Drosophila melanogaster: one gene and its partners. The protein of the gene in region 1 interacts with the protein of each later gene in a pairwise test. Each region holds a gene or a part of one and is shown on either strand. Other genes may lie near its edges. The genes, in order: CG17377, dsx and CG34168.

Region 1 (3,681 bases):
AAAAGTAAATTTGGAATTTAGAAAAAAATTTAGAAGTCGAAGCGACTGGTCCGAGAGTCAGATATCGAATGAGGTTAGCTGTTCCCTTGGCCCAGCACATCCAGTTCAAGTTTCGGTTCGGGTTGGCTTAAAAGTCATGGCCAACTTTATGAAATTTCATGGCCTACTTCGACTTAGCAAAGATTATGAAATCGCCACAGATCTACATAATTATATATCTATATTTGCCTTATTCACTAAAACAAAATATTTGACCCGCGAATTGTTTAGGTCAACTAACTCACTAAGATTGGAACATGGCTCTCCCAGCTCGAAAAAATGGGTTTAAAACAAAGTACTATCAGCAAAGTTCAACTTTTAATTAATTAAATCTTAAATGCCACGGAAACCCACCCTAATAAAATTGATATTAATTAATATAAATATCAGAATATCTGTGGGACATATGAACGTAAATTTTTATGGCCTTGGCATAAGGTTTCAACCTTAATTTACAATTCTAATGCCAGGCTTAAAATATAAATATTCGAAGCATAAGTGCAGCCATAAAATAAACGCAACCTTTAACACCCCCCATAATACACAGAATATAATTTCAATTTGTTTATTTGTAATTTAATGCCAAATAGATTCCAGATACCAACATATGATTTTGTGTTTAAATCAAGACCGTCTGACGAATTGCACATGGGTTCCCAAATAGCTTCGAGCCCTTCTAGTAATGGGTATTCCGCAGCTGGCTAAATCTTGATTTAAGCCAACTTCAATTTTTTATCAACCAAAACTACGTCACAAAACGACAACATGTCCCGCCAAGGAAGTGGCCCATATCAGGATCCGATCGAAACACTTGCCAGGAAATACTTATAAGCCACCTGTGGGATGAGAAAGGTAAAACCAGTGAATGCAGAAGGTATCGCAGTTACTTACACGCGACAGGATGCGGATGGAGGTCAAAGGGTCATGAAGGATTTGGGGCCTGGCAACAGCATTTGGTCCATGGATCCTACCTCTACGCTCACAAAGCCCAGGACATGCTATCATTGTTGACGGATCAGCGTAGTGGGCATAAAGCTCCTGCAAAAGGACATGAAGCGTCACCACAAGCACATGTTCCAGATGCTGTGACCTGCAAAGTCCTTGGGCATGCCTCGTGCTCCTCCGCTCCATGGTTTTTACGTTCTACGGACGCCCAGCGCCGTGACAGATGGACAAGCAGACGGACAGACAGGCGGACAGGTGGACGGACCTGGACCGGACTTACATGGGTACGTCACAGGTGCGTTATAGTAGTTCCAGACACGCGGATCGGGAATGCCGCCTTCAGGCAGCGGAGGGCAGCACATGCCCGGAGCAGAGGAGCAAGGAATGGGCGACGGAGCTCCGCATGGAGGACTGTGCGGGCCACAGCATGGAAGACTGTGCGAGCCACAGCATGGAGGACTGTGCGGGCCACAGCAGGGCGATACATTACAGCAGCAGGGACCGCATCCACAGCAGCCGCCGGCAACGCGTCCACCGCATCCGGCACCGCCATTTGGTGCTCCAGTGGCGGCACAGCGCATACGCTTATTGTTCACGCCCATCATCATGTTAGCGTAGCGCAGCGGGAATGCCGCCGGACCGCAGGTGGGGAAGGGGAAGCACAGGCAGGCCGGTCGGCCCTGGCAGGCGGACCGCGGGCACTTGTCCTGCAGACCGTTCCGCTTCACGCAGTCGCAAGTGGTGTACATGATGCCGCATCGTAACTCCCGACTGCGGCATCCGCGCGGCTGGAAAGGATGCATACATAGTGGTCACAAGTGGTCAGTGGTGTGTTGCATATGGTTACTCACCTCCAACGATCCACATCCGTCACACATCTTGAGCCCGTCGAGCGCTACAGGACAAAGGATTTAAAAATATACTATGGTCTTCCCGGGATAAACTTACTCTATTTGGTCAAATTAATTTGGAAGAAAAATTTGGAATTTGGAAAATTTAGAAGCTGGCCGAAACGAAAGGTCCGAGAGTTTGGTATCGAATGAGGAATGATCAACACATCCCAACACACATATTCGGTTCCGTTTGAGATGAAATGCAAGGCCAACTTGTTGGAATTATAGCCTACTAGATTTTAAGAAAGAGTTAATATTAGATTCAAAATGCAAAAAGCTTTTTCGCTCTTTTTAAAAGCTCTGTTATCAGCTAATTGTATTATGCGATTTGCTTACAATTCTGATAAGCGATCCTCTTTTCAGTTCATTCCAAGTTCCCAAGCTGATCGGATTGGAGCAATGCCTAACATTGCAGTTATCGGTGCCGGGGTTAATGGTGTTGCCAGTGCCATTAAGATACTGGAACACTATGTGAACGATGGAAAGACACCCATAAAGGTGACGATCATATCGGAGGACTTCACGCCTAACACAACTGGAGATGGTTCGGCTGGTCTCTGGGGTCCGTACCTTCTGGGCGGCACTTCGCAGGCGAAAGTCTAGTAAGTTTTACTAGTCACTATATTATATTCTTACTTATAACTTTTTTTCCATCAGCAAGTGGTCGAAGAGCATGCACCAATTTTTGGAGAAGATCTGGCTGAGCGAGGATGCCGGAGAGGCTGGCGTTTGTCTGCTACCCTGCATTCGGCTGAGCACCTCAACGGTGGACACGGTCGAAGATTTTTGGCGTGACATTGTCTATGGAGCAGTGGATCTGTCCAAGGAACAGCTGGCTGCCTACAATAAAGGTCGCAGCGTTAAGTTCACGTAAGAATATTCATAGATATCCATAGATTTATACTTGCTGAAATATGAACATATCTAAACCATATCTAGGTCTGGTTTATCCTTTGTTACCTACACCTCGGAGCCCATTAAGCTACTGCCGTATTTGATGAAGCGTTTCACCCGAAATGGAGGTGTTGTTGTCCGGAAAAGGATTACAGACCTGGATGCATTTGTAGCCGATTCCGAGTACGATGTGATAGTCAATTGCTCCGGATTGGGCTCTAAGACCCTACTAAACGACGATCAAATGTACGCAGTGCGTGGCCAAGTTTCCCGGGTGAGGGCCAACTGGATTTTCTCTGCCGTGCTGGACGAGAGTGATGATGGCAACTATATTATACCCAAGTGAGTATTTGCCAGTTACACTTATTTGTTCGTATTCCAATATCTGAAATATTTAAGCACCGAAAGTGTTGTCCTGGGCGGAACCCATCAGGAGCGGGACTACAACACTAAAGTCTGCCAGAACGACAGGCGGATGATCGTCGATGGCTGTCAGCGGTACATTCCTGGTTTGGAGCACACGGAGTGCCTCTTTGATTGGGTAGGTCTCCGGCCGGGTCGCACCCAACTCCGACTGGAAGCCGAGCGCCGCGGCCGCAAGCTCCTCATCCACAACTATGGACATGGCGGCAGTGGAGTCACTTTGTGCTGGGGCTGTGCCGACGATGTCCTCAATATCCTGTTGGCCGCCAAGAACGGTTCCAAATTATAAGTCAGTTGGAAAGATTATTATTTTAGTTCTATAACAAAATTGGTAGTGTAAAGGTAACAGCATTTAAAAGCATCTCTTTATCTACATAATAAACATTTTAATATATTTCATTACACTTAGCAATTTCTATATGGAAAATGTTATAAAATTGAATTGAATGCTGTACTACGTTTTGATTGGGTCAATGCAAGCATATTT
Region 2 (5,065 bases), on another chromosome or scaffold:
AATTTAATGGGTTTACTCAAACTTAAAGAACCAAAATATTGTTACCTGCTTAAATAAGTTAAGCCTATAAATATGTTGATACTCGTAAATCGATAAATGGCCCTCTAAAGCACAAAAATAAAAAAAGCTTTACATCAATCAATTACATATCAATAATAAAAAAACCAAATAATATAAGTAATATAAGTAAAAAGTATACATGGGAAGAATGTGGTTAATATTTCTATATTATATAGATAGGGAATATAAGATTCTTCTACACTTCTTGTCCACTTTCTCCACACCTGCTGGCGTGTTTGATTCGTGTTTAATCTAATTTGCACTTAGTTTGACATTATGGTGACTCATTGAACTTGCCTATGCACACAGATTCACACTCAAAATGTTTGACGATTGATTAGAACCTAATGAACGAAAGATAGGGAGAAATATATGTGACATAGACGAAAGCCAGTATCGATGAGAATTTTAATCTATTAGCTAGGTGACATGTAGTGTGAGCGTTTGTCTGTCTCAATTTTCGTTTGCTGTAATGACTTAATTTCGGAGTCTAAAGAGTTAATACCCTGTATTTAAATGGAGGGTAAATTGAGCATGAACGATGTGCTGATAACGGGTCTCACATTCGTGCTAGCACCAGATACCCGCCCCCTTCTTCCACCGCCTCCCGCTGGCCACGGCAAAATGTTGTTATTTTGCCTGTGTGTTTAAAAACTGCACAAGATTGCTTATCTTGCATGTCGCCTCTAATTTGTATGAGCTGAGAGACCCGCAGAGAAATAATTCCTCCGAAGAGCCACTTTAAGAGAAAGACCCTGCTGGCTATCAGTTTTCAATATTTGTGTTTGGTGGAAATAATGACAAATATAAGCAGGGAAACAGTGGTCAAAGTTGCCAAAGGAAAAGCGGATTAAATTGATTACGGGCGAGCATAAAAAATGTGCAGCTTGCGCATGTATGCTCAATTAATTTGTCTAAAGCGGAAGAGATCACGATAAGAACCCACTTCAGGTTATTAATGGGCCAAGGACAGCTCGGCGTTATAAATGGCAAAAGCACCTTAAGTCGATTATATGATAATTGCAAGTGGGGTGCAGCTTAAAAAGTTGAGTACAGATCATTATAACTGTGCACTAAGAAAAATGCATTTACAGGTATTTTATATTTGTATATATTCTTGGGAAAATGTACCAAGCTCAGATTTATATTATACTAAAATATTCGTCTTGCTAATATGGTTTAATAACTTACTTAATATAAATCTATGAGTAAAAAGTCTGCATGTTTGCTGAGGAGTCAAACGGCATGCTAGGTTCTTATACCTTTTTTTTTAAGACTACAGACAGGTGTACTCGATCTTGCCATTTGCGTCATCCGTCTTCATGAAAGTCGAGATTTCGTGAGTGAAAGCAAGCTGCAGTTTCTACTAATGATCTCTTACGCCCACTAAAATATGAGTTTTAACTTAGCAAGGCTAACTATGTTATTTCGACTACAAATGACAAGAATAATAGCCAAAAGAAATGAATAATTATCCCCAAGATAACACAAAATATTAAAGGTAAACTGTCCTTTCGCGCTATACACAATGAGCATTGGCAAAAATTTAAGTTCTAATTTACATATATTTTTTATAATTGCAGCACTCGTGAATAATCGATGGTAAGCTTTAAAATTAACAAGAAACGCCTTCGCTTCAACTTTAATTTGAATAAAAATATTCAGCACGTGTTTATCGTTTTAAGCCAGTTGGTTTCCGTATTTGTCATTTGCATTTTCCTCATAACCACTTAGACCTTGGTCCAATTTGCCTTATATGTATGCAGTCATCTAGGATAGCCGATCGCAAACGACAATGGCAATGGCCTACGCTATCCCAATCTTAGAAACTAATGCGGGAGTCTCATAGTGTGGCTGTAAAACGCGACCTGTTGCTCGTTTCCTGTTTAATTTGGAAGTCAGACAATAGCCTGAACCCCTGGCTCCCCCCCATTCAGCAGTCATACCGCCAGTTGTAGATGGCAATCGCTGAGCGTACCTGCTGCTATCGCCATTAAGCCTTGTACACACGAGCATTTATGTCAGGCAATTACAAGGCAGTTTGCAACGCCCCCAAATGCCGGGCAAAAAGGTGGCAAAACGGAGCGGAGTGGTGGCACATTTTGGCCGCAGAGCGCTCGTAACTCATCGTTCACTTACCAGGTACAATGCCAATTGCATGCACTCGCTAGAGTATCTCCAGGTCCACTACTAGACCACTAGCAGTATATGTATCTGTATCTGCATCTGCGATCTGCCTCCGCGAGGTGTGCTTTGCTCTTGGTTATGCAAGCAAAGTGAGAGAATATAGCACTAGCACTCGGCGAACTCGATGAGATACGGGGAGTCCGATCGGCTGGGTACGAGACGGTCAGGAGTGCTTCGTGGACCGAGAGTGAGAGTGTGAAGCCGGTAAAAATTTATTTCTTTTATTTGTTATCTTAAACCGTACAAGCTGTAGCCGCAAACGACTTTGTTTAGCATGGCACTCGCGGCTCGATCTGGTTCCCTGTAGGTCAACGCATTTTAGAGATATTTTCGGACCTCGCACAGCAACTAAAAACTATCGCACAGAATTTTGTACCGAATCCGCTCCAGTTCTTTTCACTTCAGCTTGAGATTGTGATTTCGAGCACGGAACGCGGACGGCGCGAGACGCCAACGCGACATGCACGACCTGCAAAGGACGATCGATGCCAGCAAACTGGTTGCGGCCACAAAGCTAAAGCTCCCCGTGCACGATACTAACACTCGGACCAGTACCAGTCCGACTAGCAGACCAAAAGACAGCGGACAGATACACGGACATTCAGGCGGACGGGCGGACCTAAAACTGAGCATGTGTTTCTGGCACAGAGACGGGCCCACCGACTGGCGACGCAACGCTCTTGCTATTTGTATTTGCACTCTGGTTGCTGCACCGCGAAAAAAGAAACGAGTGCGAGCATCCAACCTGCTCGACTGCTGGATGCACTGCACATCAACTGGGAGAAAGCAAATTGGTTTGGTACCAGATATGGATACCCTTATTTGACCGTTTTCATTGTAAACCCTTAACTATGCTCTTTTCCATAAGTAAACCATGCTAAAAATAACATAATTTAAACACAATTCTTACAATATGAACTATGAACTATAAAAAAGTATTGCAAACTATTAAATCGTATGTAATATGAGCTAAATTCGCCGCGAAAAATATAGGTTCCGCACTGCGGATACTTAATTCTCCTTACCTGCGTTGCATACTTTTAAGGGCTAATTTCCGCTAATATCAGCCAAATAAAATGTATTTTAAAAAATTATGTATTTGAACGGAAAATGTTTTAAAATATTCATTACTTCTGTGTTGCTATTTAATATGTGAAATACGAAAAACGGTCAATTATTTTAAATACTAAGTAAATAGTTTTTAAACAGAAACATTTATACGATAGAAGGGCATTTCTTTCATCGGTTCCCACGATTTTTAGCAAACTCATAAGCTCGAAGCAACGTTGGTATGTGAAGAACTCAAACGAAAGCATCTTGGGCAACAGAGAGTTACGGAGAGAAACGGGTCTGCGAGAGTGTAAAGTGCATTTGCCCCATTAATGGGGAGCATAAAACATCGAAGACGTGCTCTTCCTCTCTGAGCGATTCTCTCTTGAAGTTCGCGTGTTTTTTTGCGAATCTCTGCGAGAAGCTCGAGTGGAGCAACTTTGTTGCCGTACATTGACGTCTCCCGCCTGCATGTGCCGATCGTAAATTTGCACTCTGGTCGCTCTCTCTCTCTCTTCCGTTCTCTTTCCGCGTGGCGCGAGAAGAAGAAGCGCCAGATATGGGGAGCATCGAATCGGGTTTGGGCGTCTAGCCGACGATATAGGTCGAACCACTCAGCTGGGTTTCGGCCTGCGCCGCGTATTTATGCCACCTTTAGACGCAGCGATTTGCGTGTGTCGCACTCGCATTTATCACATTGAAAGGTCCCCTTTCATCGTCAGCCGTTATATTAGTCAGGATCGTTTATACAGTACGGCGGAGATAATTTTGCCGAAGCTCGGCTCCATTAAAAGATACTTCCCTCAGGCGATGCACGCAACTCCCAAAAAGGTAACCAAAAATGGTCGAGAGTTCGATTTTTGGGCAGTGAATCGATTTCGAAAGGGCCTTCGGTACTTCAGTAGTTTCCCATTGGTGACCAAATTGTAGGGGAATGAATGGCTCAGCGATCAGAAAACATTAAGATAATACTCATTAATTAACCGTTTTTGATTCTCGTTTAGTGTTTCAGAGACAAAAGTTATTAATTTAATATTTAAATAAATGAAGTGATAAAGTGACTTAAATTTAATGAATTTATGTAATTATTTTGACTTGCTCATACAAAAATTGAATTTAAAGAAAATTACTTACTTATTATATTAACTATCAATATCATCGAGGTAATGTGAAAACTTAATATAATTGCATACTAGGGTACTACAACATATTATTTAAAAAATGTTTACGAAAGTGAGAGCGGAAGGCTTTGTCATTGATTTGCATGAAACTGTATATATTGCATAGGCAAGGGGATACATTTTTCATCCAAATCCGATTTACATCTTCACCAATTGATCCCGTGCCGATTGTAGAACGATAAAATTCACATAGCTTTAAAGGCGCATTTCTTGCACCATTTCTTGTACCTTGGATCGCACAAATTTTAGCCCTTTTTATGGCGGAGTGTCGAAAGAGCTTGGCTGGGGGCATCTGCATTTGCAATCTCATAAATCAATTAGCAAAGAGCGGCGCGGGAAGAGTATCTCGCGGATACGCATCCGAATCGAAACTCGTTTGGCCGAGTGCGCTCTCAAAAAACGCCAACAAACTTGGGGCAGAACGGCAAACAACAAACACTCGGGCGGTCAGAAAAAATGCAAATTGCTAAGGAAATATTTATTTATGATCTGCTCTCTTGCTCCCAGTTCCACTCTCTGCATCTGACAGATACTCTTTTTTCCTTGTAGGACCTTTGCGACCCCCGCATCGATCATCAGCGTTCAGT
Region 3 (2,938 bases), 9.3 Mb from region 1:
TTTCCTCATATGTATGTATATTTTAAAATTTATTGTGCAATTATGCATTATTAGTTATGATTAAACATTTTAATGGAGTTTTCTTCCGCTTTTAAGCTGTGAGTTACAAACAAATAAATCAAAAACATAAGAACGGAACCAAAAACTTATCGCTCCAAAACTTCCGCTGCACGGACGCTCATAAAATGGGGGACATTGAACTTCTGAGCGGGCTGAAAAAGGCATTGCTGAAAACTGTAAAAATACCAGCGAAGAAGCCGGAAAAAAACAGTGGAAAAAAGTCACATCAACACGAAACATTAAGCTTCACAGTCACAACATATTCGGCTCTTCGATGCATTTTCCTTAAAGTCGCCATGGAGTTCAAATCGAATGGGAGCGCACGCGCCTGCGAATATGCAATGCTGTAATACGAGACCAACACGCGATGGAGATGATGTTTGGTTACGGAAGGGGATACGGGAATTTTCCCGGGGTATTCGGGGTTCCGGAATCGGAACAGAAAATAAGCTCAACCAGACCCAAAAGGCCACCAAACGAACGGGCTATTTACGAAGGGCGGAAGTGCTTTAATTTAATGTTGGTAAAAGATAAGAAGTTAATCCGATCAAATTTTCTTGGCCTTTCCTTCATTTAATTCGATTAAGTAATAGATGAGATAGTGATGTTGGAAAATCGATGTACATGAGCTTTATAAGTAAATAAACTTGTAAAATGTACAGAATTCTTCATCCTTCAGAGTTTTTTTTACTTATTTTCTTAAACTCATAAAAATTAGGAACTTCGAGATGGATTAATTTACACTCAGCCTTACAGCTTATTTGGGTGAAAACGTGAAAAGTGTTGGGGTAATCGACTCAATTAGCTATTGCATAAGCACACTTTGCACACTCCCGCGCCAGCCAAACAAACACCAAACTCAATTAGATGCCATAACTAAATAATCACAAACACATTTACGCCAGCAAGAGCTCTTTTCAGTTGAAGCAGACCGGTTGGTAACCAAGAAACGTGGCAAAAAAAAAAGAAAAGAAAACAGAGAACCAGGTCAACAACAGAAACAACATGAGCAACAATTTTGAAACAATGAAATGACGACAACGACAGAAGCGGCAAGGCATGCCTGGAAAATTGCTTCCAAATGCTCAGAAGCCAGAGTGGAAATATGGGTAGAGTCGGAAAAGTGGGTGGCCTGGGTGGCTGGGGGACATTCCAACATGTGACGCACGTGACAAAACTTGTCAAGTGACTTTACTTCACTTTGACTGCGAATCCCGGCTCTGTTGTCCGTAAACAAGAAGACGGAATCCCGGCTGTGAAGAAAAATAGGTTTGTGTGCATTGCCCAACACAAAATGCTTAAGAAAACTCTGCTCTTGGTAAAACAATGAAAGGTGGGGCAAAGAGGAAAAATCAGTCGCGGCTTGGCTTTTCCGACTTGTTGCGCCTTCGGCTAAATTATGACATCGAGAGTTTTAGGGGAATGGGAAGTCCTTCGGGACGGACTGAAGTATTTTTGGAGGAGCAATGGAGTGGAATTTTATGGGACACACAAACAATCGGGAACGGTTTTATGAATTAAAATTCTTAAAGCGAATTAGATAAGAGGCTAAGAGGCTAACTGTATATATAGTTAATCAAATTTTAAAATTTGGAAAAAAGCATTTTAAAAGCAGGCCATGAAACCACAACATAGAAGGCCATGAAATCAAAGTTAAATCTGTAGAACTTTGTGGACCAAGCTAGTGGCTTTAGCTCATTATAGTTTCGGTTCTCCAACAGAAAACATCTATTTGTACGACTACCAAATTTCTAGGACTGAAAATCCTACTTCCGTAATCAGGCTAATGTGAGTGTGAACAACAAACGAATTTGTTTCTTGAAAATATCCTCGATTCGTTTCATTTCGTTTTCAGAATAAAATGTGCAATCCAGGAATGTGCTCGATGCCCGGCACTTGCTGTGGACCGACTGGCGGACTGGGACCCTGCCTGCTCTGCGGACCCTACAATGGCCAGTGGTTCCGTTCGGTCAACCACTGTTGCGGTCCTTGTGGCCCATATGGTTGCTGCTCATGCTACGGGCCGTATGGTGGACATTGTTAGCCTGCTTAGAAGGAATGTAGGGTTTCTTTATCCGCGATCTGGAACAGGAGCTTTAAAGATTGCAGCCGTGAGGCCTTGTCGAAGATGAGGAGCCACGCTGAAAAGTTGTCAGGCAAAGTGGATCCAAAGATTTGTGTTCGATGAAAGATTATGCCATCAGAAATAGATGTTAATAAATTATACGTATAATTCAAAAATAGACCACTTTAATTTCACTTCACATGTATTGCTATCAACAGTTAGCAAACCTAATTAAATATTTGGCATGCATTCTGTGGAAACAATCACAAAATTCCATCTCGTAATTTGCCGTTTTTGGTTTTCTTTTCAGTCCGCCGGGTGCATTTAAGGCTAAACCCCATTTGATTGTAAATATTTGGCTCGTTTACGGCTAACGATACATCGGGGACCAGCCAAAAAGACGTGTAATGCTAATGGGCCTGTTGAGTGCAAATTTGTTTACGAGTAAAACACCACTAAAACAGATGGGCTTGCTGATTGCTTTCAATTTTATTTAATCGAGGCACCCCGCATCAGATCGACCAGAAAAATTGATATCGTTAAACATAGTGAACAACAGAAACGGTAAGTTTAAAGAGTATATCATCGTGATACGGCTACTTGGTGCGTTTGAGTGCTTTGCTAAGACTGGGGAAATACTCGTCACTGTTGAGATCAGGAGCTTGAGGTTTTCCGGACATCTTGGATGGAACCTTACGCAGACGGCTCTCAGCCTGATCCCGTCGATTGAAGTCACCTTGGCTCTGGCGGAGAGCAGGTGGTATGTAGATTTGGCTCTTTACCTCGGACGGTTCTTTCTTATTCGGTTGCTCC

What was found.
Region 2: the proteins of CG17377 (region 1) and dsx interact in a two-hybrid assay, tested with the Drosophila melanogaster proteins (2 studies listed by BioGRID).
Region 3: the proteins of CG17377 (region 1) and CG34168 interact in a two-hybrid assay, tested with the Drosophila melanogaster proteins (2 studies listed by BioGRID).

Annotation. Positions count from the first base shown.
Region 1 is NT_033779.5:6,800,776-6,804,456, forward strand, and holds CG17377 (uncharacterized protein), read right to left. Parts: upstream 2,015-3,681; 5' UTR 1,933-2,014; intron 1,880-1,932; 5' UTR 1,863-1,879; coding exon 1,836-1,862; intron 1,773-1,835; coding exon 1,176-1,772; 3' UTR 1,078-1,175; coding exon of another isoform or gene 1,076-1,077; 3' UTR 933-1,075; exon of another isoform or gene 931-932; intron 876-930; coding exon of another isoform or gene 865-875; 3' UTR 603-864; downstream 1-602. Other genes in the region: Daao2 (D-amino acid oxidase 2), read left to right, coding at 2,277-2,479, 2,535-2,747, 2,817-3,113, 3,171-3,483.
Region 2 is NT_033777.3:7,964,264-7,969,328, forward strand, and holds the start of dsx (doublesex), read right to left. Parts: upstream 3,146-5,065; 5' UTR 2,200-3,145; intron 1-2,199. UniProt on the Drosophila melanogaster protein: Controls somatic sexual differentiation. Binds directly and specifically to the FBE (fat body enhancer) of the yolk protein 1 and 2 genes (Yp1 and Yp2).
Region 3 is NT_033779.5:16,134,072-16,137,009, reverse strand, and holds CG34168 (uncharacterized protein), read left to right. Parts: upstream 1-1,737; 5' UTR 1,738-1,848; intron 1,849-1,915; 5' UTR 1,916-1,921; coding exon 1,922-2,104; 3' UTR 2,105-2,296; downstream 2,297-2,938.